Linked DNA regions of Mytilus edulis. Each later gene encodes a partner of the first gene's protein in a complex. Links are inferred from orthologs where the notes say so. Each region holds a gene or a part of one and is shown in the gene's direction. Other genes may lie near its edges.

The links.
Region 2: the proteins of UDP-N-acetylglucosamine--peptide N-acetylglucosaminyltransferase 110 kDa subunit-like (region 1) and TGF-beta-activated kinase 1 and MAP3K7-binding protein 1-like are in contact, whole or in part, in a crystal structure (PDB 4AY6), measured with the Homo sapiens proteins. The link is inferred for Mytilus edulis from reciprocal best matches to the Homo sapiens genes OGT and TAB1. Residues at the interface, in NP_858058.1 of Homo sapiens: Asp441, His506, His508, His509, Asn567, His568, Pro569, Gly641, Tyr642, Thr643, Lys644, Ala646, Gln849, Phe878, Pro904, Val905, Ala906, Pro907; in NP_006107.1 of Homo sapiens: Pro389, Val390, Val392, Pro393, Tyr394, Ser396, Ala397, Gln398, Ser399.
Region 3: UDP-N-acetylglucosamine--peptide N-acetylglucosaminyltransferase 110 kDa subunit-like (region 1) and KAT8 regulatory NSL complex subunit 1-like share a complex: the UniProt entries of both Homo sapiens proteins name them as parts of the NSL complex. The link is inferred for Mytilus edulis from reciprocal best matches to the Homo sapiens genes OGT and KANSL1.
Region 4: UDP-N-acetylglucosamine--peptide N-acetylglucosaminyltransferase 110 kDa subunit-like (region 1) and KAT8 regulatory NSL complex subunit 3-like share a complex: the UniProt entries of both Homo sapiens proteins name them as parts of the NSL complex. The link is inferred for Mytilus edulis from reciprocal best matches to the Homo sapiens genes OGT and KANSL3.

Annotation. Positions count from the first base shown.
Region 1 is NC_092351.1:28,979,673-28,987,440, forward strand, and holds the start of UDP-N-acetylglucosamine--peptide N-acetylglucosaminyltransferase 110 kDa subunit-like, read left to right. Parts: upstream 1-4,744; 5' UTR 4,745-5,243; coding exon 5,244-5,292; intron 5,293-6,273; coding exon 6,274-6,424; intron 6,425-6,711; coding exon 6,712-6,955; intron 6,956-7,500; coding exon 7,501-7,569; intron 7,570-7,768. UniProt on the Homo sapiens protein: Catalyzes the transfer of a single N-acetylglucosamine from UDP-GlcNAc to a serine or threonine residue in cytoplasmic and nuclear proteins resulting in their modification with a beta-linked N-acetylglucosamine (O-GlcNAc).
Region 2 is NC_092352.1:76,407,056-76,414,760, forward strand, and holds the start of TGF-beta-activated kinase 1 and MAP3K7-binding protein 1-like, read left to right. Parts: upstream 1-4,692; 5' UTR 4,693-4,789; coding exon 4,790-4,843; intron 4,844-5,634; coding exon 5,635-5,771; intron 5,772-7,705. UniProt on the Homo sapiens protein: Key adapter protein that plays an essential role in JNK and NF-kappa-B activation and proinflammatory cytokines production in response to stimulation with TLRs and cytokines.
Region 3 is NC_092345.1:6,818,099-6,825,904, forward strand, and holds the start of KAT8 regulatory NSL complex subunit 1-like, read left to right. Parts: upstream 1-4,806; 5' UTR 4,807-5,529; coding exon 5,530-6,692; intron 6,693-7,806. UniProt on the Homo sapiens protein: Non-catalytic component of the NSL histone acetyltransferase complex, a multiprotein complex that mediates histone H4 acetylation at 'Lys-5'- and 'Lys-8' (H4K5ac and H4K8ac) at transcription start sites and promotes transcription initiation.
Region 4 is NC_092347.1:90,586,572-90,593,438, forward strand, and holds the start of KAT8 regulatory NSL complex subunit 3-like, read left to right. Parts: upstream 1-3,853; 5' UTR 3,854-3,960; intron 3,961-4,891; 5' UTR 4,892-4,926; coding exon 4,927-5,084; intron 5,085-6,705; coding exon 6,706-6,867. UniProt on the Homo sapiens protein: Non-catalytic component of the NSL histone acetyltransferase complex, a multiprotein complex that mediates histone H4 acetylation at 'Lys-5'- and 'Lys-8' (H4K5ac and H4K8ac) at transcription start sites and promotes transcription initiation.

The DNA of each region.
Region 1 (7,768 bases):
GCCTGTTGTAAGGCACAATATCTGTGGCCCATCATGACATACATCTGACATTTTACAGTATCAGTTGAGATTCTGGTCCTTACATCCCTTTTTTACAGAACCTACCTATTGCATTAATTGTATTTTTTTTTCTCATCCTGAATATGTATGAAATATTTGCTGCTGAACTCAATTGTCAATCAAATATTTTGTTGAAGGCTGTACAGCAACCTAAAGTTGCTTATATCCAAGTTATTTTAGTAGACTCTTGTATCATAGTCCATCAAACCTAAAGGACATTAAGCTCCTGTTTATTTTACAATGCACAGGAAAGTAATAAGTTTTCAACAAAGTATGCTGACATCAGCAACTATTACTACTGGGTTGGTTATATGAAAGAAAAACCAACTTTTTCTTCTGGAAAGATTGTGACTTGTTCTTTTTTTGTCTATGGTATCTCACCAAATACTGGGATCATATGGAGTTAACATGGCCATGCACTAAATCTACATGCACCTAATACTCCACATGTTTATTGCAACATGCTTATATGGGGCACAGCAGTGACAAACAGGTTATAGTCTCAGAGATTTTATACACAACAAGTAATTTGACAAAAGCTTCCTTAATGTGCTTGATAGCTTGGTCCTTGTTATTAAGTAAGTGTAATGATATAATACAACTAAAATTGACATATTCATGGATATAAATTAATTAAAGTAGACAATGAAAGGCAGATTTATAATATGGAAGTCCTCTTTCCTGATCTAAATAGTATACTTTTTGGCTTTCAGAATTAAGTGTTCCTGGTTTGATTAGTTACCGTAAATTAATCTTGTTATTGTAATTACAGCGAAATGCATTGAGGGTGTAGTAAAAGGTAATATCTTTGGCTAGCTTGCTTGCTAGCTGAACCGTGAATTCATGATTAAGGAATGTATACTACCACCCTTTCGGAGTAGTATAGTCCTACAGACAGGTCGATCGGTTATCTGTCGGACTAGTCTACACTAAAAGGAGGGTAGTCTACCTAATATAATAATGACTTCACGGTTCAGTTACCAAGCAAGCTAGTCAAAGTTACATTAAAGTATATATAAAAAAAACAATTCTGAGACGAGTGCCTAGCTGTGTAATAGACTCATATGTTTCTGTAACAGTTTAAATAACCCTGCATATTAACCTTAATAGTTCTGGTTGAAACCTCTTGATTGCACGACTCTTGACCTCAGTAGTATGTTAGATGCTTGACATAGACATCATTTACATAGCATTTAGATTCACGTGCATAATGGAAAACTGAAACATTCATATGAAGAAAAATTAATGTAAACGGGGATTCTGTTACAAATTAAACTAGATGGAAGAAAAGTAGTTACTTTTTTTATTTGTTAAGCTTTCTCATTTTTTTCATATCTTGATTATACATACTAGCACTCAAGTTTTACAAGATTATATTGCTTATATAATTTTAATTTTTTTTTAAATAATTAAAGTTTAGAATTGTGTATGCCATATGCGTGTTCCGTCTACATACGACTCGTCAGTGGAACGTTTGGAAAGCCTTATCAAATACGAAGTTGACGAGCATTTACAACCGATTGTAGTGAGTAAGTAGGTAAAGGTAATATCTTTGGTTAGCTTGCTTGCTAGCTGAACCGTGAAGTTATTCTTTATTATTGATTTATGAAAAGCAAGTCGCCTTTCAATAATATTTTTTACCCCAAACTGAGTTCAATATTGATATAAAAAGAAGATGTGGTTTGATTACCAAATGAGACAAATCTTCACAAGAAACTAAATCATACAGAAATTAACAACTCTAGATCGCCGTACGACCTTCAACAATGAGCAAAGTCCATACCGCACAGTCAACTATAAAATGCCCGAAATAACACATGTTTAAAGTTTAAACACAATTCAAACGAGAAAACTAACGGCCAAAATGATGTTCGAAAAACAAATGTTTCACAGCAACTAACGTTAACCACTAAATCACAGGCTCCTGACTTAGGTTAGGCACAAACATACATAATGTGATTGGGCTAAACGTGCTAGCGGGTCCCCAACCGTCCCCTAATCTGGACAGTGGTGTTACAGTTCAACATCAAGAACGAACTATAAAACTCAGTCGAAAAAGGGTCAACCCGTCAGATGGATACACATAGAAATACAGCTAACAAAACAATGATAAGACCTGGCCGGCGACTAATCCCTTGTCACATCCCAACAACACTTAGACACTACTAGTACAGATGAGAGTACTCGCAGTTACGGGTAGTTATTTAATTCAAAGTCAATAACAACTAAGAAATCATGCATCTAGGCCAACATTTTCAATCATTACACATCCAACATCCAATGGATTTAGTGTAAGACGTTATAAAGTAAACATTCAGAGAAATATATGACCTTGTGCAATGCCAAGATGCAAGTATCGACAGATTGTCGATGCATGAATGTGCATATGAGAAAATATCTGAAAAAGTCTAATTTTTGGCAATAAAAAAAGACACAAAAAAATATCTTTATACCCGGTATTTTAATAGCACGAATCGAAGAACACACATTGAGGATTTAGGAACTGTTGGCCGTAACTCAAACAATTGTTTAATGTGGAAACAATGGCAATTTTAAAAATGGTACAAAAAAAAATCCAGTTCTTTTCTGTTACCAAAGTGAATCAATTTAAAAAAGCTTCTAATGGGACTTAGGAATAAGTTTAATACACTATTTGTGGTTTACTAGTATATCCTGCAATAGTTTATCAAATGCCAATTATTTTTTTTAGCATTTGCAATACGAAAGGTTTAGAAATATGCCGTAAAATATAGTCAGATATGTCGGTAACATGAAAGAATCTTGAGTAACAGAACAACGGTAACAGGACAGAGTTGGTAACAGAAAGAATTTTTTCTCTCAAAAAAATGCTTTATTTTATAGTTTATGAAAAATACATCATTTCAGAGTGGTCACAATTGAAAGATAACAGCAAACATTGTCATTTATCCTTTGAAACTGTATTTGCAAGATGAAAAATCTGCCTAGGTAATGAAAAATTCTAAAATAAATTCCTTCCTGTTACTATCTACTATACTAGAATTGCACAATGTTCTCTGCTGTTATCAAAAGCAAAAAAAAAATTTCATTCAATATACTGTATATCATATAACTTTATTTAATATGGTGATGACAACTTATATAAAATGAAATGGTTGGTATATATAGAAGATTAACTTTTTGATTCATCAGTGAAATTGTCTTGAACATCCTTCCTGTTACTGATCATGGTTATGCTGTTACTTTTTATCAAGTAACATGACAGAACGTAACATTACGGAATTACACACTACTTAAAAGTGTTGTTCATTTACTCGAATTGTGTAGAAGTTTACTTCCATCTACATATCAATTAATTTGATAAGATACTATAGTATAAAAACACATGTACTGTTATAGTGCTGACAATGAAATATACAAAAAGGCTGTAACAGGAGAGAACAACAAAACTATTTTTTCTCCAAATTCTAATCTTATGGGAGTTAAGATTTTCACTGCTATTCACCTATACATATGAAGTCATACATTCAGGAAATGATGCTCTTCACATTCACTCTTGCATTAAAAGAAATAAAATTTTGGTCTTTCAAACGTGTCCACCCAGAGGTAACAGAAAAGAAATTTCCCCTGTGGACAACATTGAAAATGCAAAATTTTCTAAATGCTTTAGTTATAACAAAATCAGGCCAGTAATGGAGAAGTGTTTTATATAATCTATCAGATTTGTGAAATTCGGAAGGCTGTTTATTTAATTTAGATATTCTTTAAATGATTTAATTTTCAGAAAATAACAGGGGACACCATGATTTTTTTTTTTGGGGGGGGGACCCTTTAAACTATTTTTTTTTTACTACAAGAATGTTTAATTTGGTCCAGTTGGCGCATTATATACTCTAGTAAAAACTGAAACTTAAAATTTTCCAAAAAGATGCCTGAATAAAAAAAATAATTGCTGGTGAAATTAGACTTTTTAGATAATGTCTCATATGTATTTAGTTGTGATTTTAGTTTACTGATAACAAAAACAATGTTAATACAAATAAAACAATATTTATAAAAGATCCAATCACAGTGTTGAATTAGTAAAATTTTAGAATAAGTTAGTTGAAAGGATTGCCATGATAAGTATTAATACCAGGATCGTTTCTAAATGTTCAGTTGGGCACTATAATCAACATCTCCGCAAAAATGAGGATGAGCTATCTCGTTTGAAATAAGTTTTCTACAGGTGCAACAAAACGTCTATGGAAGAATTTTAAATAATAAAGGTTTTAAGTAATCATGCAGTGGTAACGAAATCATCATAAAGTGAATCAGAAACATAATTTTAGATTTTAGACTATAGGCCTAATAGGTAATTCAGAGTAAAACGGAGTAACAAAGTGAATAACTTTTGATATCTTCCGTGTAATTATATAAGTTTATCTTCTTTTAGATATGCGTTTTATATTGTAAAATACCAAATTGATTTTAGCTTTTTTCGCCGGACCGTACAAATATAACCCACTGTGAAAAATCAAGATGTGTTCTTGTGAGCCAAAAAAAGTGATCTGTGAAAATGTGTCCACCCCGGCGGACATTTTTTCACAGTAAAGGTGTATTTATATGTGTCCGATGCTGTGAACAAGTGTCCATTTATACATAGATTCCGTGAACATAATTTTCTGTGAAAAAATGTCCGATGGACAAAATTTCATGGCGGACAATATTTAATTCTTACACTCCCCTGGAGGAAGTTACATAGCGAAAAATCACTGACAATAATTATCCAGGACTATGAAATTTCTTAGTGAAAAAGCATGAACGTTTAAAGTAGGAAAATAAGTTTGCGGATGTGTTATAAATTGTTAATTATAAATGTTTTAGTGGAATTTTTTTATTTACCCTTGGTTGCCTCAAAAAACAAGGCGACCAATCAAATGAGTTGTTTTAGGTATGTGATCAAATGACCTTGACTTCGGGCTAGCGAGGCATTGACGTCATCAGAATAAAAATTTCCAGTTTGAGCTGACGAGACCAAGAATATATACTTCATATGTTGTGGTCATTATTTATATTTAAAAATTTGATGACTGTGAAAGGAATATACAATTATTGACTTGCAGTGATTAATATACAGTCATTGAATATTCACCAAACCAAGAATCTTATAAAACTTTTACCAAGACGTTAACGGACAAAGACGATCGCCATTTTTTGTCAGGATGAAGGAAATTGCCACAATGGCACAGTTTACCGTGTCTGATGTCACAGGTAGTTTGAAAGCCTAATTTTATATATATATACCAATTGCATGCATAACAAACATGAATGGTTGCAAGAGCAATGTACACAAAAAGTAAATAACTAATGCAGCAAAGTAACTCCTCCACCTTTTTTAGTTGTTGCATGTATTTTGTCATAATTTTGGCATGGCAAATGGTTTAAAGTTGTCAAAGGTGATGTCTTACACATAATTGTGTGCTGGCAAGGCTTTATTATTTATTATATTGACTTAAGTTGACTAGAATCAGTAAGCACACAGCTATAATAAATCAAGTGCTGAACAATTCAACATGTATGAAATACTTTCCACTGGACGTTGAGTAACCAAAAAATAAATACCAATTTCTGAAATAAATAACAAACTCGATATGCTTACCTTTTATATGTAAAAACCCATGATCCAGTATTTAAAGGAAAGTAATTATTTTGGCCTTCGGTTACTTGAATCAGAGTTGTTTTAGCACAAACACTTTTTCTTTCCATGGGAATTTGACTATCCATATATATAGTAGAATGTGGCTAAATATTTTTTAGCTCATGACCATCTCCACTTCCGGTGCTTTTTGTACCCTTTTATATGAATCTATTCAATGAACATTTTCCTAGTACTTTCTCTGTGTACTTCTTTCATGGTATTTTAACTATTATTCACTAAACAATGAAGAAAACTTGAACTCCAATCAGTTCTTACTTTTCCGTATCATGTATTTTAGAGCTACATTGTACATAAAGGTTATGGTTGGATTAGAATAATGGTTACATTGTAGTTTTAGTAAATAAATGCCACCTCTTTGGTTAAACTTTTCTATTTAACTATAATGTGATTGCCAAGTTCAAGATTATTTAATCAGCACTTTTTGTCACACTCTGTGAACATGCATAAAATATTTGTCAGTGTACATTTAGCAACCAACAATCAATCTTTCTTTATGTCATGTCTGATATATAAAATAATTTATTTATTTTCAGGTTTAGCTGAATTAGCTCACAGAGAATATCAGGCTGGTAATTATGAGAATGCAGAACAGCTGTGTATGCAGTTATGGAGACAAGAACCAGACAACACAGGAGTCCTTTTGTTACTTAGTTCTACACATTTCCAGTGTAGAAGACTGGACAGGTAAGTTCAGAAGAAAACTAGGCTCATAATAGATTTAACTAGTACACAAGTATTCAACTGTTTTTGTATCATCTGTGTTTAACACTCTGTGTCATCAAATTTAGACTGCAGTTCATGGAAATACATTGTACAGTGATTTTACCAGCGCCCATTTAACAGTTTATGACTTTTCTAATTTTAGAAGTAAACACAACTGGAAGGTCTTCAACAGTGACTTAGAGTTATCAACTTCTGTGTACATGAAAAATTTGTTATATAATTGTAAAACTTACTTATATACATTTCAGATCGGCTTACTTCAGTCAGCTTGCCATTAAACAGAACCCAATGTTAGCAGAGGCATATTCTAACCTTGGTAATGTTTACAAAGAGAGGGGACAACTACAGGAGGCTTTGGAGAACTACAGACATGCTGTTAGACTGAAGCCTGATTTTATTGATGGATATATTAACTTGGCAGCAGCCCTCGTAGCTGCTGGAGACTTGGAACAGGCAGTACAAGCTTATGTCACAGCATTACAATATAATCCAGTATGTATGATTTATATTCTTCACATACATCATCAAACAATTTATATTGGCATATATATATATATATATATATATATGTATAAGGTATTAATTTTTGATATGGTTGTTATAATATAATATAATGTAAAATGGACTTGAATAGTATTTGTGTGACTGTCAGTCTCAGTACTAAAACAAGATATCAATAGTATGTTGTTTTCTTGTAAATGCAATGAGATGTGTGTGTATGTCAATGATACAATAACCCAACAAAAATAAGTGTGTGAAAGGTTTGACAGGTAAGTTCCAGAACTAAATTTCTGCTATTGAGGTTGAATTGAGGATTCTCAAAGTTCAAAGTATTTAGTTATTTTTTTTGTGTTTAAATACATGTTTACTGATGCATGTCAGAGTAGAAACAAATGCTATTATATTAATGTTAAGATAGTTCATTATTTGTTTATTGAAAGTATAAGTGAACAAGAAATGGGACGAAATCACCTAGAAGTTGTTTTGAATACAAAAGATTTAATTGTTAACTATACATTTGAACTTGTGTTTTACAGGATTTATATTGTGTGAGAAGTGACCTTGGAAATCTACTAAAGGCATTAGGAAGACTAGATGAGGCTAAGGTAGGAGATCTTATAAATGTAGCAAACAAGTTGGGTCAAGATAAACATTTTCCCTTAATTGTATGAACTTTATTATAGTTGTTAATCTCAGCATTATGAGAATTAGAAGGATAAAAAGGCTTCTGTTCAGATGTTTCATGGTTTTGTACTTCCCTTAAAAGACAGCATAGATGCAGAATCATAAAAAAGATGGTTTGTG
Region 2 (7,705 bases), on another chromosome or scaffold:
AAGCATTCTAAAAATGCGCGCACGGTCAACTCTTTTAACCTATGAACTTACTAAAATAAGCATTCAATACGTCTTATAATTACATTTTTATAATAACACGTGTTATATAAATCTGAGACAAGTGCCTGTGGGTTTTTAAATTACAAGTCAATACAGAGAAAGCAAAAGTAATGGTTTTTGATTCAAACGGAAAGTTTTTTCTAAACGAATTTCATTATAATGGCAAACCCTTAGAGATAAGATAAGATAATAAGATAAGAAAACTTTATTTTGATTCGGCATAAGTACAAATAAGCAACACAAGCTCTAAGGAGCTTTTGACCGAATATAAAAACATATAAATAACATAAAACCAGTGCATTTTGACATTTAAAACAACCTGTAATACAAAGTTGAAATTTCACATACATAGCATGCAATAAAAATAAGCAACAAATTTTCGAATGAAGTAACAACATGCTTGACCAGAGCAACCAAAAGCAGCATTACATAATAAACAGCTCAAGAATTATCTGCAAGCAGAACAGCGACATTCCAAACCGTTCCAGGACTGAACAAGACTTTTAAAATGTGAAATAAAATTGAGAATGGAAATGGGGAATGTGTCAAAGAGACAACAACCCGACCATAGAAAAAAAAAAAAACTGTTTTCAGTCCTGAGATGGTTTGGAAGGCTGTTCCATAAAGTAGCAGCAGCAAATTTGAACGATTTTTTTACCGTAACGGGGTGACTGTGGAATTTCAAGAATATTTACATACCTGAAAGCATATTTAGATTTTTTGACATTCACCAAATTTTGTAAGCACACAAGAGCTATGTTGTTTATAATTTTAAAAGTTTCTAGAGCCATTGTTCTTATCCGTCTGATCTGCAAGGAGGGCACCTTAGCTTTAAGTAAGAGGTCCTCGTAGGAGCTGTTAAATCATCATACACAAAACGGAGTGCTCTTTCCTGCACCTTTTCTAGTTTTTTAGAATTTTTCTCAGTGCAAAAATGCCATGCCAAAGGGCAAAAATTAAAATTACTAAGAATAAAAGTATGAAATATAGTAACGGTTTACTAAGTCTATCCAAAAATGAGTCTAAACGTTTTAAAACATTTAATTGCCTTCCTACAGATTGAGCTGATATGAACATCAAAATTTAGCTGGTAGTCTATTTCAATGCCTAATAATTTTACTGTTTTTTCACAAGTGAGGTTCGAATTTTGAATATGTATAGATGGGTTCTTTTCAAAGGTCTTTTTGCCAACAGCCAAAACTTGAAAAAAGTCAGGATTTGCTTGCATTTTATTCACCCTGGACCACTCAATAAGTATTTTTAAATCAGATTCCAAAGTTGAAATTAATAAATCGAAGTCTGGAGTACAAAAAGACAAAGTATTGTCATCTGCATAGTTATATAAACTACCATTTTTACCAAAAATTAAAATAAAGAGACAGTTAGTACTTATTGTTACTTCGGTATCAATATTAGATATATGATATTCTGGCCGGGGGGGGGGGGGGGGAGGCGGGGGAGAGGATGATTTGTTTTGGATCGGTTATTTATTTTTGTAAACTAAGAGGACAGATTATTTATTTTCTTCACTGTTGAAGCAAGATTTTTCAGTTTCATTAAAACAAGGGACTGATTATTCATTTTCACAACTATATTTATAATATTTAAAAACACAATTTTTAAATGAATTTTATTATACATGTTACAAATAATACATGTAACTATTATGTATAATCATTGTCATTAATTTAATTAGAATTAACCATTATCCTCTGCAGGAATGAATCTTGCCAACTGCGTATACATGTATTTCATACATACACAGTATTAAAGTTTTGCTGCCACTTGCCTTTTTATTAATTATTGCCAAACATATTTCGCCCAGCGGATCGAGGCAAACATTTTTTGGAAGGGTTTTGATGCTGCTGAAAGCCCCAAGAAGCTACCGAACAAATGATGCTAAGTCATGCTTTCTGGGTGTTAATCCCAGACCTTTTCTAAATCTGAAAATGCAAGTTCTGCTTTAATCTTTTTTGACAATATTTTGGTCTCAAAGCAAAATGTGTAGATTCAGTGTAAGAATTAAGTGTGTATAGGCAAGGACGTATGTTAGTTATACGTCCTTGGTATAGGGACTACATTAAAAGACCAAAATGTAGGATAAGGCAAACATGTAATTCTTATAGTTAAGTATGTGACTGGTTTTTTTTTTAACTCATGATTAAGTTAATAACAAAATTACTAAATTGCAAAAGGAATGCAACACTAACAGAATACAGAATGAACAAAAGACAAATAAATAAGAAACATTGATCCTGAAAAAAACAGGGGCCATGTCCAAGGAGAACAGAACTTGCTTCTTGCAAGAAGCTTTCAGTGAAAACAATTTGATATGAAGACAAGCTTTTGGTTTTGAAATTTCCTACATGAGCCTATTTGCCTCAATGAAGTTACTTCCCTGTAATAAAAGTGAGGTAAGTGTTCCTGAGAAAAGATACCTCAAGTGAAATCAAACCTATTTTCAGACATTTCAAGTATATTTGATAATATTTATACTTTTATTGTTAAAAGATTTGGGAAGTGTTTCCCGATTTTTGTGTGGAAAAAAGATAAATTTTATGAAGAATCTGATGCCATCTCATACTTTCGATTAGACCCGCTGAGTTATTTATTTTCAATACATTGTAAGTCAGGTTATTTATTTTCAAACTACCACAGAACAAACCATTTATTTTTGTGATTATTAAGGCTGAGTTATTCATTTTCAAAATCCTCCTCCCCCCCCCCTCCCCCCCCCCCCCCAGAATATCAAATGGTCGTCCCCTAATGGCAGTCAGTTTAATGTCGCCATCACTTCGCTTATGGAAAAAATAAGGAAGCGGCATATTTTAGAATAAAGAAACCAATAGGATTAGATAACCCTCGTAAACTTCTGGAAAAACTTTTTGATTCCTTAGTAGCCCCTATTTTCCTTTATTGTAGCGAAATGTGGGGGATTATTTCGACATTTAAAGACAGTGATGCCTATGAAAAGTTGCATATAAAATTTATTAAAGAAATCTTGGGAGTACATTGTTAGGCCTCGAATGATGCATGTCGTTCCGAACTTGCAAGACTGTCATTGAAAAATAGGATAATGTTATCTAGTATTAAATTCTGGGACCATTTAATCACTTCAGAAGGAAGTTTAGTTCACCAAATATATAATGCTACACAAACCTACTTAAAAGGATTAATATTATTATTCAAAACTTATGTTTATCATATTTTAGGTCAGGTCCTTAATGCTGTTGGTAAATTTATTAAAGTGAATATGAGTTAGTAATTGTATTGTAACTGCATGTAAAAAATTGTTAGTATCTATGTATCTATGCAAATCAATAGTCTTTTTCCTTATTCATGTATGCTCTGTATGCCCCTTGTGGGCCCTTAATTGGAAATAAAATATGTTCTGTTCTGTTCTGTTCTATTTGTCAAATGATAACCTTATTATTAAACCCCTTTTTGGTTTTATAAAACAAAGACTAATTGACCAGGGTTTTCAGGAACAACATGCAAATATTTCAGCATCTCCAAATTTGATTAACATTTTTCCAGAGTGTTTACAAAATGAGTGAACGGGCAGGTTTTGTCGATGCTTTAAAAAATAGATCAGATCGATCATCATTGTGTAAATTAAGAGTTCGTGCTCATAACCTTGCCATTGAAAGAGGAAGATATTTAAAAGTGCCAAGAGATCAAAAAATTTGTGAAATCTGTAAAAACCGGTGGCGAAATTGAAAATGAACAGCACATGCTGCTACACTGCAGAGGTTACTCCAGTATTAGAGAGACTTTTGTATTTTGTAAAAATGTTCAAAATTACAGGAAAAAATCATAACCCCATTGTGCGATAAGAATAAAATAAATCTTATACTTAATAATACGTACATCTTATACGGCACTAAAATTATCTTCCCAGTCTTTCGTAACAAATTGTTTAAATGCTAGAAGTAATCTATTGCAATAGATGTTCATTATACCTGTAATCATTTATTCACATATATATATATATATCCAGATGGAATCAATAGAAAGAAATAATTAAATTTACAGTCTAGTGTTAATATTATTATATTCAGGATTTTGGATTAAAATCAATCGACCAAAACTTACCTGTATTATTAGTGATCTATGTTTACACCTTATACATTATATCTCATTATTGTTAAAACTTTTGTCACCGAAGAAGGCCATTTGTTGAGCCGAAATATTTGCAATTATTGTATAATTTATATCATCTGTTCAGTTTTTCCATCTTTGTGCAATGATATTCAACACTTTTTAGTGTTTTGTTTTCCATCTATTTATCGGTATTGTTACACAATCTTTCAGACAATTGTTTGTATTTTACTACCATGTTTTGCAAATTGTTTATCCATTCGGTCGGCATTACCATTTATTGTAAATGCGTTTATGCCAATAAAATATTGTCTTGTCTTGTTTTGTCTCTCAATTCAAAATTCTAGATTTTTTAAATTATGATTTAAGTACATTTCTTAACGCTGAACCTGTCAGTTAAATGAACAAAAAGACACTGACAGCGACAGTCTTAGCGGAGCCTTCGATACTCATTGAAGGTCGTGGTGATATTACCTTGCTAAATTTTATCTATCGGTTTTTAACAGTAATTTGATATCGGGGCAATGCTTTAGGTTTTTGCAACACCTGTGGAAAGAATCCGAATGATAACAACTTCCGTTCTTAAAAAAATGTAGAAATTCATTTTCATTGCCAAATTTAACGGGATATGGCTGCAACTAGACTTGCAAACGGATCTGTAGGGTCTCCTCCTAGATTAGGGGTACGGTTTTACTTTTATAATAATCAAAGATTATGGAAATTTGATCTATGTGTATGTCAAAGTGTACATGAGGAAGAGGAAGGGCTCTGGTAGGGGTTCTGCCTCTGGCTCTGACTCTTTCCTTTCCTTAGCCATCCCAACACGAATTCCAGCCACTTCGGTACCAAGTTAAGAATCTGCAGCTGGTAAACTTGCCACCTAAATATTTTTTAAAAGGGTCCTTTTGGAATATTTCAAAATGACTCCAATGTAGGGGAGGGCACACTTTAGCAATATATTAAAACATGGGGTAACATGTAAATGTATGACCGAATAACACTTATACCTAATGCTTAATACTACAAAACACAGATCAAGTATGTAATTTGGGGTGTCACTTTTACCGTTCTAGAGACATGCCCCTTTTAAGTCCTTTAAAAACGTAAAACTTGTTAATTTTTTTGTTTCCATTCTCCAACTTACACAAGTTTGAGTTTGCCTCAACCAAATGTTATGCAACTTATAGACAATGCTTATTACATTTGTACCACAAAACACAGATCAAGTATGAATTTTTATGGTGTTACTGTTACCATTCTAGAATTATGACCCTTTACTTATGGAAAAATTGCTAACTGATGACTTGCCTGCTTGTCAGCTTTTCTGTTTTATGTTTTTCAGAGTCATGCTTTGAGCTGGACTGATGACTTGCCTGTTTGTCAGCTTTTCTGTTGTATGTTTTTCAGAGTCATGCATTGAGCTGAACTGATGACTTGCCTGTTTGTCAAATGTTTCTGTTTTATATTTTTCAGAGTCATGCATTGAGCTGGACTGATGACTTGCCTGTTTGTCAGCTTTCTGGGGTTGGATTCTCAACAAATCAACTCTACAGAGAAGACGGGTTTAGACAAGAAGAACATGAATTTGAAGACAGGAGTTTTCATTTTAGGTATAATTCAATTGATTTTACTTACCTAGTACAATGTAGTACAAATGTATAGCTTTAATTTGTCAAGGGTATAACTTAGATAAGTAATGAGAGAAAAATAACATACAAAGAAATTTTGTCCTTTTTGGTTATTATCTTGAATACTTTTATAGACAGAGATAAACTGTAAACACCAATAATGTTCAGCAAAGTAAAATCTACAAATAAGTCAACATAACCAAAATGATCAGTTGACCCCTTAAGGAGTTATTGCCCTTTATAGTCATTTTTTACCAATTTTTCATAAATTGTAATCTTTTACAAAAACCTTCTCTGAAACTACTAGGCCAAATGTAACTTAACTTGGCCACAATCATCATTAAGGTATCTAGTTTTAAAAATGTGTTGCATGACCCAGCCAACCAACCAAGATGGCCACCATGGCTAAAAATAGAACATAGGGGTAAAATGTAGATTTTGGCTTATATCTCTGAAACCAAAAAACATTTAAAGCAAATCAGACTGGTTAAAATTGTCCATTAGGTTAAGATCTATCTGCCTTGAATTTTTCAGACAAATCGGACAAAATGTGTTGGGTTGATGCCCCCAAGTTAGTACATTTTTGTAATTTGAAGGAAATTTTGCAGATTTTGGTTATTATCTTGAATATTATTATAGATAGAGATAAACTGTTAACAGCAATAATGTTCAGCAAAATAAGATCTACAAATAAGACAACATGACCAAAATTGTCAATAGACCCCTTAAGGAGTTATTGCCCTTTATAGTCAATTTTTAACAATTTTCATAAATTTTTGTAAATTTTTAGAAAATATTTTCAACTGTAATTACTGTGCCAATTTCTTTATAGATGGAGATAATTGTAGCAACAAGAATGTTCAGTAAAGAAAGATCTACAAACACATCACCATCACTAAAACACAATTTTGTCATGAATTTATCTGTGTCCATTGTTTAATATGCACATAGACCAAGGTGAGCGACACAGGCTCTTGAGAGCCTCTAGTTTATGTACACTGTCAGATGTACATGTACTTTGTTTTTGTTAAATTGTATACAAGTTCTATTTATCTTATTATCGTCTCTGTATACTAAACTTTTATTTCATTAGATACATGTAGATACAGAAAAAAAGTATCCCTGTAATAACTAAATGGTGTTATTACAGCTTCACCTACATCACTTCAAAGCCTTTGTCATTTGATGAGATACATGGTATTTAATTCCAATTTCCAATGATATACCAGATACTTTATGATATTCATTGGGAATTCCAATTTCCAATGATATACCAGATACTTTATGATATTCATTGGGAATTCCAATTTCCAATGATATACCAGATACTTTATCATGTTTATGATATTCATAGGGAATTCCAATTTCCAATGATATACCAGATACTTTATGATATTCATTGGGAGAACACAGATTTAACAATAAATAAACATATATTATGGATATGATTACCATTTATGAGTTAATAAAAACACTCTTAATGAGTCTGAATTGCTTTACACTCTGTCATGCCTGTATAGCTTGCTGTTTGGTGTGAGTCAAGATTCTGTTTTGAAGGCCCTAATTTGACCTATCATTGTTTACTTATTACAGACATTGTGACTTGGATGGAGAGTTTTCTCATTGGAACTGAAACCACATCTTCTTATTTCTACATACATGAACTGTATAGCTGGTCATTTTCATGGGGTATAAATTTTCGCTTATTTTCGCAGATAGAACAAATTCGCCAAAATAAATCCCGCCAAATCAAAAGTGTACATGCAGAGGTATTGATTAAAAGTTTTAACCCCGCAGCAATTTTTATGTATGTGCCTGCGAAAATCTACCAATTACAGTATATTTTGGTTGATTCATTGTTGAGACAAAAAGATATATATTTTTTTTATCTTTAAGCATAATATTGATATATATTA
Region 3 (7,806 bases), on another chromosome or scaffold:
AAAGTGAAGGATATATTGTGAAGACGTAAACTTTTACTTGCATAAGGCCATCAACGGACGCTGTTAGGGTTATTTTACATGCAGAGAGTGTGGCACTCGACCTTTATAAGATATCGGATTGATTCGGATCGACAAAGCCACGCCTGACACGGGATTTCAAAGGATTAAGTCAGACTATAGGACAAACCCTTGAGGCTTATGCATTGAATACAGCAACATTTTAGTAGTTATCCATCTAGAAGTCTAACTAGTGCGTACGGCAACATTTTAGTAGTTATCCATCTAGAAGTCTAGTGCGTACGGCAACATTTTTTTCCGAATTTTGAAACTCCCCTCTATTTTTTCATAGAGTATCATTTTCGATTTTTTAAGGAGAGGGGAGTTGCAAAATTTAGAGACATTTCGAAAAAACTTGGCATATTTAATTGCTTTTGGGTCGACTTCTTCTTCCTGAGTAAGAACTTTGCCAAGCCGGGATAATTGGTGTCGTTTTCAGCTGTGTTGACTGACTAAATACGATATTGTACCGGGTGTACAATATTGCGGTTTTTGGATTTTTTATACGAGTGCATGTAAAACAAATTTCGTTGTAGAAGGGTCTAAAAACAGAACAAACAACATTTTCCAAAAGACCAAAAAAGTGAAAAAGTATATTTAAACAAAACGCATTTGACTAACAGGTCGAACAACTGATGTTCTTTAACCCTGCTGACTGCCATTGGCGATTGCCAAATAAAATTGATCACAAGATGTAACAAAATGGATCTTACTGTAAATTTAATACTAAACAGAAATTTTTTTTTTTAACTTGTGGCCACGATGTTATGCCACAAACATACGGTGTCAATATTTTTTAGTACACCAGATCCGGATTTCGACAATAAATGTCTCTTCAGTGAGGTTTAGGATCGAAACGGTATTTGGAAGGCCATATAAAATGTACCCTCATTTTTAGATAAACTTTTGAATTTTAAGAGTCAATATAGGATGAACGGATCATATAAACCGGAGGGAAAATATGATACAAGCCCAAACGAAAAAATATAAACGAGTCTAAATTGAAAACTATGTTCAAATCTATGATTGCGTTGGATAAAAACCGCAACTTTTATACGTGTGCCTGTAAAACAAATTTCGTTGTAGAAGGGTCTAAAAACAGCACAAACAACATTTTCCAAAAGACCAAAAAAATGTAAAAGTATATTTAAACAAAACGCATTTGACTAACAGGTCGAAATATATGTATATGAAAACAGTTTTCCACAGGCCGTCTATGGAACCCTTTATGAAGAGTTTGTTGACTGACGTATTTAGAGATTAGTACTCTCACTTCACGTTTCTATACTTTCTAAAATGATCACATGGGTCCTAAAATCATCAGTTCAAACAATTTGTTTCCTATTATATAAAGGCAATATAAAGGCAATATAATTTACTTGGTGTAAAAAATGACGGAAAATGTAGTTTCAACTTTGCACATGAACATAACTGACTACATGCGCACAAAATGACAAAGTAAATAGATAAAGGAGAACACGTGCAAATAATCGACATAATGCAGTCATAATTGTGAAAGAAACATGTATTTTATTGACATTTATATATCGACGCAAGTTTTGCAGCGTGGGTCGACGATATGATATATTGCATAAATTTCGGCAATTCCTTTATTTATCAGTGCACAATTTCATGCTCGTATTCTTTTCCTTTGCTTTACTATGCGACTGTGTTTTAGAGATACAGGTATAGCGCAAAATAACATATTATATAGAGATTTATCAGAGGCGCCGTTTTACTATTTATTCACTATTTTCTGATATCAAAAATTAGAATTTTTGATATAAAAAAATCGAATTCCTGATATCAAATATTCTAATTTTTTTTTTGTATATATAAAAAAAAAATGAAGACTATTTTCTGATATAAAAAAAAAAGGATTTTCTGATAAAAAAAAAATTTTGATATCAGAAAATAGTGAATAAATAGTAAAACGGCGCCTCGTAGAGATTATACATAAAGACAAGAGAATAGTCATGTCAACAGAATTTCAAAATAAAATAAGAGAAAAATTAGGCCCTTTGAAATACTTACAGTAAAGCAAAAGAAAAATATGAGGTTTTTGAAGTTATCTATATTTTTTTAACAAAATAAATCAATGTTCTACACTAGTATTCGAGGGAAAGTGGGTACATCAATTAAATATGATTATATTCAATATATTTGTTTTGAGAATATCGGCAATGTGAACCCCCCCCCGAAAAAAAACCCCAAAAAAGACAATTAACAACCCTTAACTACACCATAATTATATATGATCTTCATTACATATAGGTTCGTGGACTTTTCAATGTTTTATTCCGTTCATAAGTTTAGTTAGAGTTATGTCCCCTTATACAAGAATTTACTAAAGATATCGATGACTCACGATCACGTTTCGTTAGCTCCACGTGTCAAGCGGAACATGTATTTCGAAAGACCATCTTTATTATGTGAAGCGAACGACGCTGTCGCCACCTTATGCATATATTTCCAAATGTATAGTGTTTCAACATTTTTACAAAAATCTATATCCAGATTAATATTACTTAACAGTATATTTATGTGAAGTATAGCTTTCAGACTGTTACATTTTGAATTTAGTTACTTTATTTTCAGCGAGATTTTCAGCAGTTTTCGGAGTGTTATGTCAATTTGAATTTTTGCTAATAAAGTTTGACATAAGATGTATACTGTCATAGCTAGAGAACAAATATAAAATTTAAAAAGCTCCTAATTTTAATATAACTGTATGTGTACCTTGTTTCCCTTTCTAGTCTCCAACTTCGTAACTGGGAGTCCCGGACTATTCTCAGGGACTATTATATATCTAGTTTGAATAAAGTCCAAGTTTTTAGCAATTGGATTTTTTTTTAATGGAATTAACTTGTCTTGGTGTAAACGATGTTTTATTATGAATTATATACATTTTTAGAATTATGATTCAGAAACAAAGCCTAAATTGAAAACAACGTTCAAACCTAGTGCGTTGGATGAAAACAGCATTTTTTATACGTTTGCATGCAATCACATTCATTTTGGTTATAAAGGGGTATAAAAACAGCACAAACAACATAATAAATAGTCATTTTCCAAAAAGACCAAAATAGTGAAAAAGTATACAATGAAACAAGACGTCATGCAAGTCATTAATTGTGATTTCCCGTAGGTACTTGAACAAGACTTTTTTTGCCCTCCTTTTTTTTATCCGTTATAATTGTTTTCTTATCTTTAATTTTCAATTATTATCACGGTGGTTCTGCGGATATATCTTACATGAAAATACTGTAAACCAGAGACGGATCCAGAAATTTTCAGAAAGGGGAGGGGTTCATAAAGGGGGCATTGACTGCTTAATTAAGAGGGGACCCGCTCCAGTCATGCTTTAGTGATTTCATAAAGTTCATAACTGGGGTACTGGGCCTCTCTGGAAACACTGCCGGTTACGGCATACTATCAATTGCTATTCAACTATCCACAGTAGCCTATATAGTCACTGATAATATAAATTTCTATAAGAAAAAAAAAACCAAGAAAATAATTTAGTGAAATACAAAATAAAAATAACGGATTTTGAAAAATGGGACTGGCCGACGCTTGTCCTGCCCCAAGTGCCTATGTTATTTGGCAATTGCATAAAGAATGGACTATATATGGTTGATATATACTGAACGGATGCCTTGCAGGCGTAGTCTTGTCGTGAAATATAAGTTCCAAATGGAAAAATTGTTCTTTAATGTCATTTCCATTGGGACACATTTTACAGTATTTAATTGTTCCTAACTGAATAAGGGTTATAGAATTCCCTCAAGAACAGATCTTATGGCATTGGTTATACCCAACTGAGTTTTCAGTGGAAAGTCTTATTGTATGTCTCAACAAAAATACGGTCAGGGTCAAATTGATGGTTTATTTGCTTCTAAGGAACATTGAAACATATGCTTTTTATGTGTTTTTTTTAGGATAGAAATTAACGGCCAGAAGTCAAGCCCATATTATTACATATTTGTGTATATATACTTATATATATACATTTATTCATCTTTGTATTCGTTTTTTTTTGCTGTTGTTATTTGTATTTGTTATGTTTTGTTTGGTTGTTGTTGATGTTGGGTTGGTCTTTTTTTAGGGTTTGGGGGGGGGGGAGGGGTGAGTCTATACTGATCTATATTTGGTGTCCGCCTAGTTCATTGAAGTTGATTTAGGATTAGCGAGTAACTTGTCAGGGTTGTTTTTATTGATTAAAATCTTTTGTCGATCATTGTTCCGTTGTTTTTACATTTCCAACATTTTTTTTTCTTCGGATCAAGTCTTTTTCTGACCAGTCTGCATAGATTTGCACAGTTGGGATAACTATAATTGGTAAATTTTGATGTATTTTTTATCAGCTGAAAGCTGACTTTAAAATGCATAATTTCTTTCCATGTTTAATATTTAATACTAATCAGTTTTCTCAAATATTTTTATAATTAAGTTATAATTTCATGGGTTTTGTCGTGCAATATCATTGGCATAATACACAAAACACGGAAGGTTGTATTGACGTAAAATTCGATAGCTGTTCCAAGAAGTTAACCGACAGATTGTTCTCACGTCCTACAAAACTAATTCCATTAGCATTATTCAAATCAAGCAAAGTAAAATTAATTTCAACTTATGAAAATATACATTTAACACATTTAATTCTAAATAAAAAACATTTCAATGCTTAAGTTGTTAAAATATAGTGTCAAGAACAGGCATATTGTAAGGAGTGCGTAAACTGAATTTACTCATCACCCGACAGAGTTTCGACCAATCACAAAATAGAGCTGAGAGGGGGATATGCGTAATTGTAAATAGAATCGAGGCTAGTTAGCCCGCATTTTTGTTGTGTGATGGCCCTTGTGTAAAGTGTACGCCATTACTGTGGTTTAAAACAATCAATGGGCGGACTATAAAACCTCATATTTCTCAGGAATGGTAACGTGATCTTTTAGGTGCTTTATATCAAATTGTTCCTTAATTTATTATCTACCAATTGCTCATAACTATTGGAAAAAATGAGCTCGAAAAAGGTACGATTTTGCAACGGAAAAATGGTCGGACATTAAAATTCATGCATGTGTGCATAAAGGACGTGGAGGAATCACGTGGTTTGTGTGTTACGATTTATGTTGATAATATTGAAGAAATATTAGACATTTATTCATCGTTTAGATTTGTCTTATGTGACAGTTCCTAGATAAATGTCATTGCATAGCCATTCGATACAGGTGACCTATTGACATTGCTTTGTTTTAACATTGTTTTGATTTTCACAGAGAAGTACTTGGGGTTGAAAATAGTCACGTGCTTCGAACCAAGTTTAAGGACAAACGGGCGCGTCGGGCTTGCGTCTGAGGTGTCACTCGATCGTACTTTCTGTACACTAAAGTTGACAACACTATAATTACATGCTTACAGGTGAGATTCTGCAATATCTATGATGTTACGTCAGCCAAACCATCGTGCATGTCTGTGCCTCTCTCTTTGAGAGTATGTTGCATGGCCGTTATGGCACCTGCGCTAACTGAGGCAGCCACTCAGTCCTGTATCAAAATATCTCCATCTTCCCCACCAGTGAATCCAGAGTTACATGTGCCATCCATTGGTGGTATTCCAAACGGAAAGAATAATCAGCCACATAGAGCAAAGCCCATCAGTGGGCTGACGTCCCATGTTACCATTGGAGAGCTTAAAAAGTTGCAACAGCAAGGGTTATTCCAAAGCATTGGTTGTCAAGAAATCAAATTCAAGTTTGAAGAATCAGACAACACAATTACAACAAAAGAAAATCTACCTAAACCGTTTCTCAACGGCAAACATTCATTGATTGCTTGTGAAAACATGAACCAAACAAATCATGTTATAAATGGCAATGAAGATATTGAAACAAAATTAAAGAGTGATAACGGACTAAAATTTGATTCTACAATTAAAGTTGTCGACAGTAAGATACCATTGGGTGAAGAAAATAATTTTGCTGATTCTGAACATAAATTTAAAACATTAGACAAAATGGTAGCTTCCAGTTCTGAAGTGGATGCTGTTAGCACTACAGAAGTGCCTAACATGGACACTGACATTCAAAGTCCTATTGATTCAAATTTGAAAGAGGAGGTTAAAAAGAAGCAACATACTTTAGAACGCAGAACCGAACATTTATTAAGACGCTTACGACGACTACAAAGTAAAGGGGTTGAATCGCACTTGCATTCACAACTCCGAAATTTCGTTGGATATCAGCATAAAAACCTACAGACAGTTGCAAAATCAATAAAGAGTTCAACATCAAATAATTTAAATGAAATTAAGACTGAATTGTTCAACAGTGATGATGTAAAAAGTTTATCAACAGCAGCTCTTGTGAATTTAGTAAGAAGACTACAGTCCAGTCAGTCGTCTTTATCGCTGAGTCAGCGTTACCTCAACTCTAAGTCAGACAGTGGACCAACTGGTGTTTTGACGATCGATAAGCTTACAGCAGAAGAATCTATCAGAGTATCTGGACTGTTGTCGAACAGTATTCATCATGCACAGAGTTGTTGTGATTCTGATGTAACAGAGAGTAGCTCTGGTGGAGAAAGTTGTGATGAAGATGACCCAACTTGCAAGAAATCCAAATCAACACTGTTGTAAGTATCATTTATTAGATTGGTTTGCAGTTCTATTTTACCGTTGTTTTTATTGACACAATTTGAGCTAGAGTTACTTCCCTTTTGTTGCTGATGATTTTGGAGATGTTCATAGACAAATTCCTTCAAAAATCAGCCAAATCGATTCCATAAACTGACCGCTAGGGGAAATAAAAGGTGTTTTCTGATCAATTTTAATTTCTTGTGTTTATTATCAGACTTGTTTGAACATAAGTACCTCATCATCTTTCGGTTAATCATACATGTTGATATGAAAATCAACCATTTACCCCTCCAAAATGGCCAAGGGGAATATCTTCACTCAAAATCAATCAAGAATGCACTTTATAAAGACAGGATATTGTTCTTTCATCTTGAGACACCCAGAGATCAATCACAAAATATATTAACTTGTGTGTCATTGTTGTTTGTCTTTGAATCTGCAACTGGTCCACACCATAAAAGTAAGTACTGATTCCATGAATAATCCCAAGTAGTGAATGAAAGGCAGCTGACAACAAATATGATCAAACACTTGACACAGAAAATTAGAGATTGAGCAACATATGTTACATACATGTAAGGAGGCTACATTTTGTACCTGTCAAAAGGGGAATAGTTTCCTTACAAGTAGCTACATGTGTATCCCTCTTTTGATGATTCAAGTGATTTTTCCATTGATTTTAAATAGAATATCATCATTGGGAAAAACAACTCACAAATTTTTGGTGCATTGTTTTCTGCTCATGTTTCTGTAATGTTTGCCCCAGCCCTTAATATACTTCAATTGTGAACAGCAATGTTCCAACAATCTTTGTTTTATGTGTTTATTTATGTTCCCCATATTGGAGACTTTCAATTACAAAATGTATCCAGTTGTACATGTAATATGTAGGTCACCTTGTGCTTGATGACATCAGTTTTCTAAAAATAGAATCTGGAATTCCCCAAAACATTTAATACTATTGGAAGCTGATAATCTGTCAGATTAACAGATTGTGCATATATACATGTATGTTTAATCCATTCTTTTTGTTTTCTACAAGGGATTGACAGTTACATGTATGCTATTCATGAGCCAACTCTCTTGAAACCCATAACAAAATATAAATCA
Region 4 (6,867 bases), on another chromosome or scaffold:
AATTTCAGAGAATAGGTTGATGGCCTGAAAGCTTAATTTCATTACTTTTATCATTAATTTAATAATTTAGTACTTTTGATAAACTGATTTGAAGAATAAGATCAAAACTTTCATTTCTTTGCTATTACACTCTACTGCTTTGGTATATATCCAGCATGTGATTGCACCTTTTATAGATATTCTCATCTTGTTAAATGAACTCTTTAAGTATGTCTCTTAAAGTGTTGAATAAGCTTGACATCTTTATTATTCAGTATCAAAACTCTATTGATATGAATAAAGAATTATACCAATTATAAGGGAGATAATTCAGGATTGCAATTAAAAATAATTTTGCCCAAAAAAAATTGACTCTTATTGACTTATTCCTGTCTTTCTTTAATGTGACTTATTGATTATTTTATTACTTTTTGCTGTGCTAGAACATTAATTTCAGATTGAAAATTGCTAGAACTTATTTTTTTATGTGAGTCTGTTAAGCATGTTACATGGTATCTTTTTTTATTCTTTTTTCGAAGTAAATGAAGATTGTTGACAAGAAGCTTTTAGAAAATGACTCAAATAAATATGAACAGTTGTTTTTCCATTGTAATAAAAATGAAGTCTGTACTATATATTTCATGTTGTTTGTTTCCTCTACTAGTAATGAACGAATTGGTTTCTGGCTGAATGTGTCATGCATAATAATGAAAGTTATACATTTTAGCAATAATATCTTTAATATATTGTTTAATATGTGATTAATTCAACTATTAATATTATCATGATTTTGTAAAGATGTATGTGAATACAAAACAAAATAAAATAAATCAGAAAATAAACCTAATTTTGATGTAGATTGTAGTTAGTTGTATTTTTGTATTTGTTCCCTTCAAAATCTAAAAAGTTGAAAGATTTTCATTTCTTCAAAATATTTGATAGCATTACAGAAAGTCTGGTAATCTCACAAAGAATCAAAGTTGAACTTCAGTTACACTACAGAATTCGTATTACTGAATATAAAAGATTTAGGGTACATGTGTTTAAGACATCAACTCAATATGAATAAAAAGTAAATCACAGGTCTATGAGAGGTCCTCAATGAGCAACAGTTGTTGATACCAGATATCAAACTCTAATTATTACCCTGTTTTCCATATAACCAAGTGTCCCTTTTATTTCCTTGATCAAGTTAGTGGTCATTCTGTTGGTAGCTACATTTTGTGTGGTATAATTAAATATCATGGTCTAAATAGACAAATGGTGAGGTTTATGGGCATGTAAAACTGACTTTACTACACCACTCCGGTATTATAATACCTATATCATAGATCTGTCGTTCATTGTTTGTCTTAGTTTGTATGTCTTCTTTCTCAATAGAGTCTGTTATTGATGGTACCGTAGGGCATGGTAAAGGTGTCCAATACTTTTGTGATTCCTGGTTTCCTTTTTATGTGTTAAGAAACAGTTAGGTGCTAATAGAATTTCAAGAATATTCTGCTTCATGACCAGCTACACAACTTTTTTAGAAGCTAATTGTATGTGTTTCAATATTTTTTGCTATAAAACTGCAACAACCAGATATGGTATAAATTAACCAGGGTCTTCAATCTATTGGCTATCAAGTAAGTTTTGTAAATTGAAACCATAATGAGGCTTATATTTTGTATCAATATATATAATATTTCCAACACTCAAAATCAAGGCAACACATCACGATTAATTGTATCTGATCAGCCTAAATAGTGTTAAATTATAAAAAAAAACAACATACAAATATATGACCGATGATATTACATAAAAGCTAGCATGGTTTTAGCATTAATTCCTGGTCATTGTGACAGAAACAAAATTTACAGTTTGGACAGGTCTGCACTATCTCCAGGCCTTTCATGTATTAGAAAAAGTGTGGTTATTTTTCTAAAGAAAACATGAAAACACGGGGCCTTTTATAGCTGACTATGCGGTATGGGCTTTGCTCATTGTTGAAGGCCGTACGGTGACCTATAGTTATTAATGTCTGTGTCATTTTGGTCTTTTGTGGATAGTTGTCTCATTGGCAATCATACCACATCTTCTTTTTTATATGATACATATTATGCTTGTGTGGTTGAATTTAAAAAGTTATTTGTTCAAGAAATCCACTGTAATCGGGTCAGAAAATATACAGTGTTTGTGCAAGTTGATTACAAAAGGATATAAAATGTAATCAAGCTTAATGCATGCGTTACAAAGTTGTAAAGTTAAGCTTTTGTTGTTGTTTAGTTTTCTATTAAACACATCACTACTTGACCCTAATATTTTTTGCACTTCTCGTTGGGTTAAAAGTAAAAAATGACAGAAGTGATCAACAGGACAAGTTCTATCTAACCTGGGCATTCTGTATTTGATATTGATGCTGTCATATTAATTTCTACCTATTTTCCCATTTTTTATCTGAAAAAATACAGGAACTAGTTTAAAATTTTAAATGGCAAAAGTGATCATAAAAAAATATACAGGAACTAGTTTAAAAATATAAATAGCAAAGTAAATCAGCAAGACAAAAAGACCATGCAAGTCCAATTTTAAAGGTCTCCACTAGCTTTCAACCAAGTTAGCTATACAGGCTATCCTCTTGTTATGATAATGGTCCAATAAAGAACCAAGATGCATTAGATGTGAGCCAAAATTTGTTCCTGTGAAAAAAGTTCTAGTGGAACTTATATCACAGGAAATATGTTCTGGGAGAACTTTTTTTTCACAGATGATTTCTATATAATTTGTTACATCTCTATAAAATAAGTTCCAAGTAGATGAAATTGTTCCTTATCTAGTAAAATAAATTCTGGGTTTGAGATATTTGTTCCTTACCTGGTGAAATAAGTTCTAGGTTTGTGAGATTTGTTCCTCACTTGGTGAAATAAGTTCCTTGTCTGTGAAATATGTTCCACTGGTTAAACAAGTTATCTTGTACACATTGTAATGAGCATTTGTCATCAGTGAGTTGAAATTTATCATTCAAGTATATTATAAAAAAAATGTATTATATTGATATATATGTAATCAGAAGTCCAGTACTAGTCTATGAATGGACTTTTAATGTAATAAATAAAAAGTGTAAACATCCAATTTGGATCCTGTGGAGTATAGCAAATTTTTAATAATATATTTACTCCATAAAAAATACCAAAATGACACTTATGAGCCAGAAAAGAGCAGAATTAGAATAAAAAGTATAGTTAATGATGAACATTTATACTAATTTGAAAAGGACAAAGTGACTGATCAATTATATTGAAAGACATAAAGAAACAAAAGTCTCAATCTCTTGAAACTGTGCCATGACCTAAGTACATGTATGAAAAGAACAACCATGACTGTTAACGGGAAAAATAGAGGAATGCCACATAAAACATGAATAAAAATTATGATACATAAATGAAGGCAACAGTAGTATACCGCTGTTCGAAATTCATAAATTGATAAAGAAAAAAACAAATCCGGGTTACAAACTAAAACTGAGTGAAATGTATCAAAAATATAAGAGAATAACGACACAACAGAAACACAACATTACAATGTAACTCACACAGGAACGAACTATGACATAACAATGGCTATTTTCCTGACCTGGTACAGGGCATTTTAAGAAAAAAAAAGATGGGTTGAAGCTAGTTTTGTGGCATGCCAAACCTCCCGCTTTAATGGCAATGTTAATTATAACATTAAAATGACATTACATGACGATAACCATCACTTTTTATTTCTTATCTTCATCATATAGTTTCATTAATGCCTTCATTAGGTTTTTTTTTTTTTTTTTTTTTATCTTTTTATCACACGAAGCTGTGGATTCCGGGAAAAAATTATATCCATTCCGTAATCGTAACACATTTAGAAATTTGACCTTCACCTTTTTATTTTGGCGTGGAATGCTAAATTTTATTTTGTCGATATATTTAGTATGAATGCTACATAAGACAGCATTCCCAATTATTTGTAAGTAACTGAATGACGGCAGTGTTGTCGCCGTCAAAAATTTGATCCTGATATATAAAAGGTCGCTGTTTTCTATGACGAAACCATCTCAAAACATTTTAAATTGAACATCACAACAATCAACATCATATAATTTACTTTATTAGTGTGGGTTCATGGTCTAGTGGTTAAGACCGATTCCTACAGTGCTTGAAGGTCACGAGATCGATACTGACTCGGGGTGCTAGATATTTCAGTACATTACAAGGGTGATTTTCACCCTCCAACACATTTCTCTGGTACCTAGACCATTAAACTAGAATGTGTACTTTGGACGCCTAGGCTGGTCAAAGTTGTCCCCTACTTTGACCTGGAGATCAATCCTCTGATATCTCTTAGGTTGTCTGTTTCTGCCCAGTGGTCTGGTGGTTCTCTCCTATTACTCCAGCTTCCTCCCCCATATAAAAGACTTCCCAGTGTCCTAGCACTCCTTTTGTGTTGGGTGAGGATTCAATTTGATTGTCCTTGTAAAAATAATTATCGTAAAGATATGATAGTCAATCATAATTTCAAAATAATTAGGAATATGATATGATATGAAGGCGTCACAGAATTTTTTAAAAATAGCCTTTCAAGACGTCATAAGTATTCTTATTTGCTGTATTATATGTATATACGATGGTCTCTATTATTAGAGAATGAAAATAGTGGCGGTCTTGACATAAATAAAAGTTCTGATCTAGCCTCTGTTATATACTGGTCAGTTAATTATAAAATTATTGATATCATAAAATTCACAAATTGTTCCTGACTGATATAAATTATAATAACTATATAAAGTAAACTTTATAATTAGTATTTAGCACTTATCTGCCCCAAACAAGAATACTTTTGTTCAGTTCTGGATCCAATACCGCAGAATCAGAAGCTTGATTTTGATTTTTTGTTTCAGATCATTTTTCAGTAGAGGTATAAGTTTTGCTTAAAATGGATATTTACCAACCAGACAGAGGCAGTACAGTATCCATGGACCATTGTTATTCCAAGCCATGGAGTGCTCATCCTGATGCCAGTAATGCCAGACCTATCAAAAAGTTATATATGCCAAAGCTACCACATCTTACACAAATGCACGTACAAAACAGGTAACAGTTATGATAAAATAAACTCAATTGCAAGCTGACGGTTGTTATCCTTATATTAATGGATCTTTGATAAAATGTGAGGTACTGCTAGCTGGTTCATTCATGTAAATAAATTGTTGAAATTGTTTTTATGCCCCACCTACAATATGCCCACCTACGATAGTAGAGGGTCATTATGTTTTCTGGTCTGTGGCTCCGTTCGTGCGTCAGTTCGTCTGTACGTCCGTTCAGGTTAGAGTTTTTGGTCAAGGTAGTTTTTGATGAAACTGAAGTCCAATCAACTTGAAACTTAGTACACTTGTTGCTTATGATATGATCTATCTAATTTTAAAGCCAAAATAGACTTTTGACCCCATTTTCACGGTCCACTGTACATAGAAAATGAAAGGGGGAGTTTCAGGTTAAAGTTTTTGGTCAAGGTAGTTTTTGATGAAACTGAATTCTAATCAACTTGAAACTTTGTACACTTGTTGCTTATGATATGATCTGTCTAATTTTAAAGCCAAATTAGACTTTTGACCCCAATTTCACGGTCCACTGAACAAAGATAATGAAAGGGGGAGTTTCAGGTTAAATTTTTTGGTCAAGGTAGTTTTTGATAAAGCTGAATTCCAATGAACTTGAAACTTAGTAGACTTGTTGCTTATGATATGATCTTTCAAATTTTAAAGCCAAATTAGACTTGTGACCCCAATTTCACGGTTCACTAAACATAGAAAATGAAAGTGGGAGTTTCAGGTTAAAGTTTTTGGTCAAGGTAGTTTTTGATGAAATTGAAGTCCAGTCAACTTGAAACTTAGTACATATGTTCCCTATAGTATAATCTTTCTAATTTTAATGCCAAATTAGATTATTACCCAATTTTTACAGTCCATGGATCATGGAAAAGGATAGTGCAAGTGGGGCATCCATGTACTTTGGACACATTCTTGTTTTTATTATGTGCATAAGGAAGAATTAAAATGTAAGTGAGAAAAGTTGCACCTACATGTATTAAAAAAAGATCCTTTGAATTAAAAACTTACAAAATTGTTGAATGTATTTTGATGAATGAAAGTATCAATAATATTGACAGCATGAGAGAAAATAACAACAGAGGAGACCTATAGTCTTTTATATTCTTGTCCTTCAGTCTTCTGATAGAAAGTTGCCTCATAGTGACTTATATCACACTTTCTTTTTTAGACAAGCAGACATAAATTTGCAAACACAATATGACATAACTCACACGCATCAACTATAATACCACCTATGCAAAAACAAACAACAAAAAAACAACACACCAACAAACAAACAGGAAAGATAGGGGAAGAGAAAGTGATGATTAAAGAAAAACTTCTTCAAATGTGTTGGATCAATATGTGCTTGAAATTTGATAGAACATTTTAACAGTTGTTACTTTTATAAACATAGATGTAGGAAGATGTGGTGTGAGTGCCAATGAGACAACTTTCCATCCAAATAACAATTTATAAAAGTAAACCATTATAGGTCAAAGTACGGCCTTCAACACAGTGCCTTGGCTCACACCAAGCAACAAGCTATAAAGGGCCCTGAAATTACTAGTGTTAAATCATTCAAACGGGAAAACGAACAGTCTAATGTTTGCTTTGTATTTTAGGGAAGCAGAAATAGATGTTTGTACAGTAACTGAGCCCAGCAAGCCACCATATGATACAGCTAAAGCCCGGAGTCTAATGCAGGAGTGTGGACGACATGTACCCCTAATGAGAACAGAAGAAAGCCCAGAGGACTGGGAAGAAAGAATTTCAAGGTTTAAACA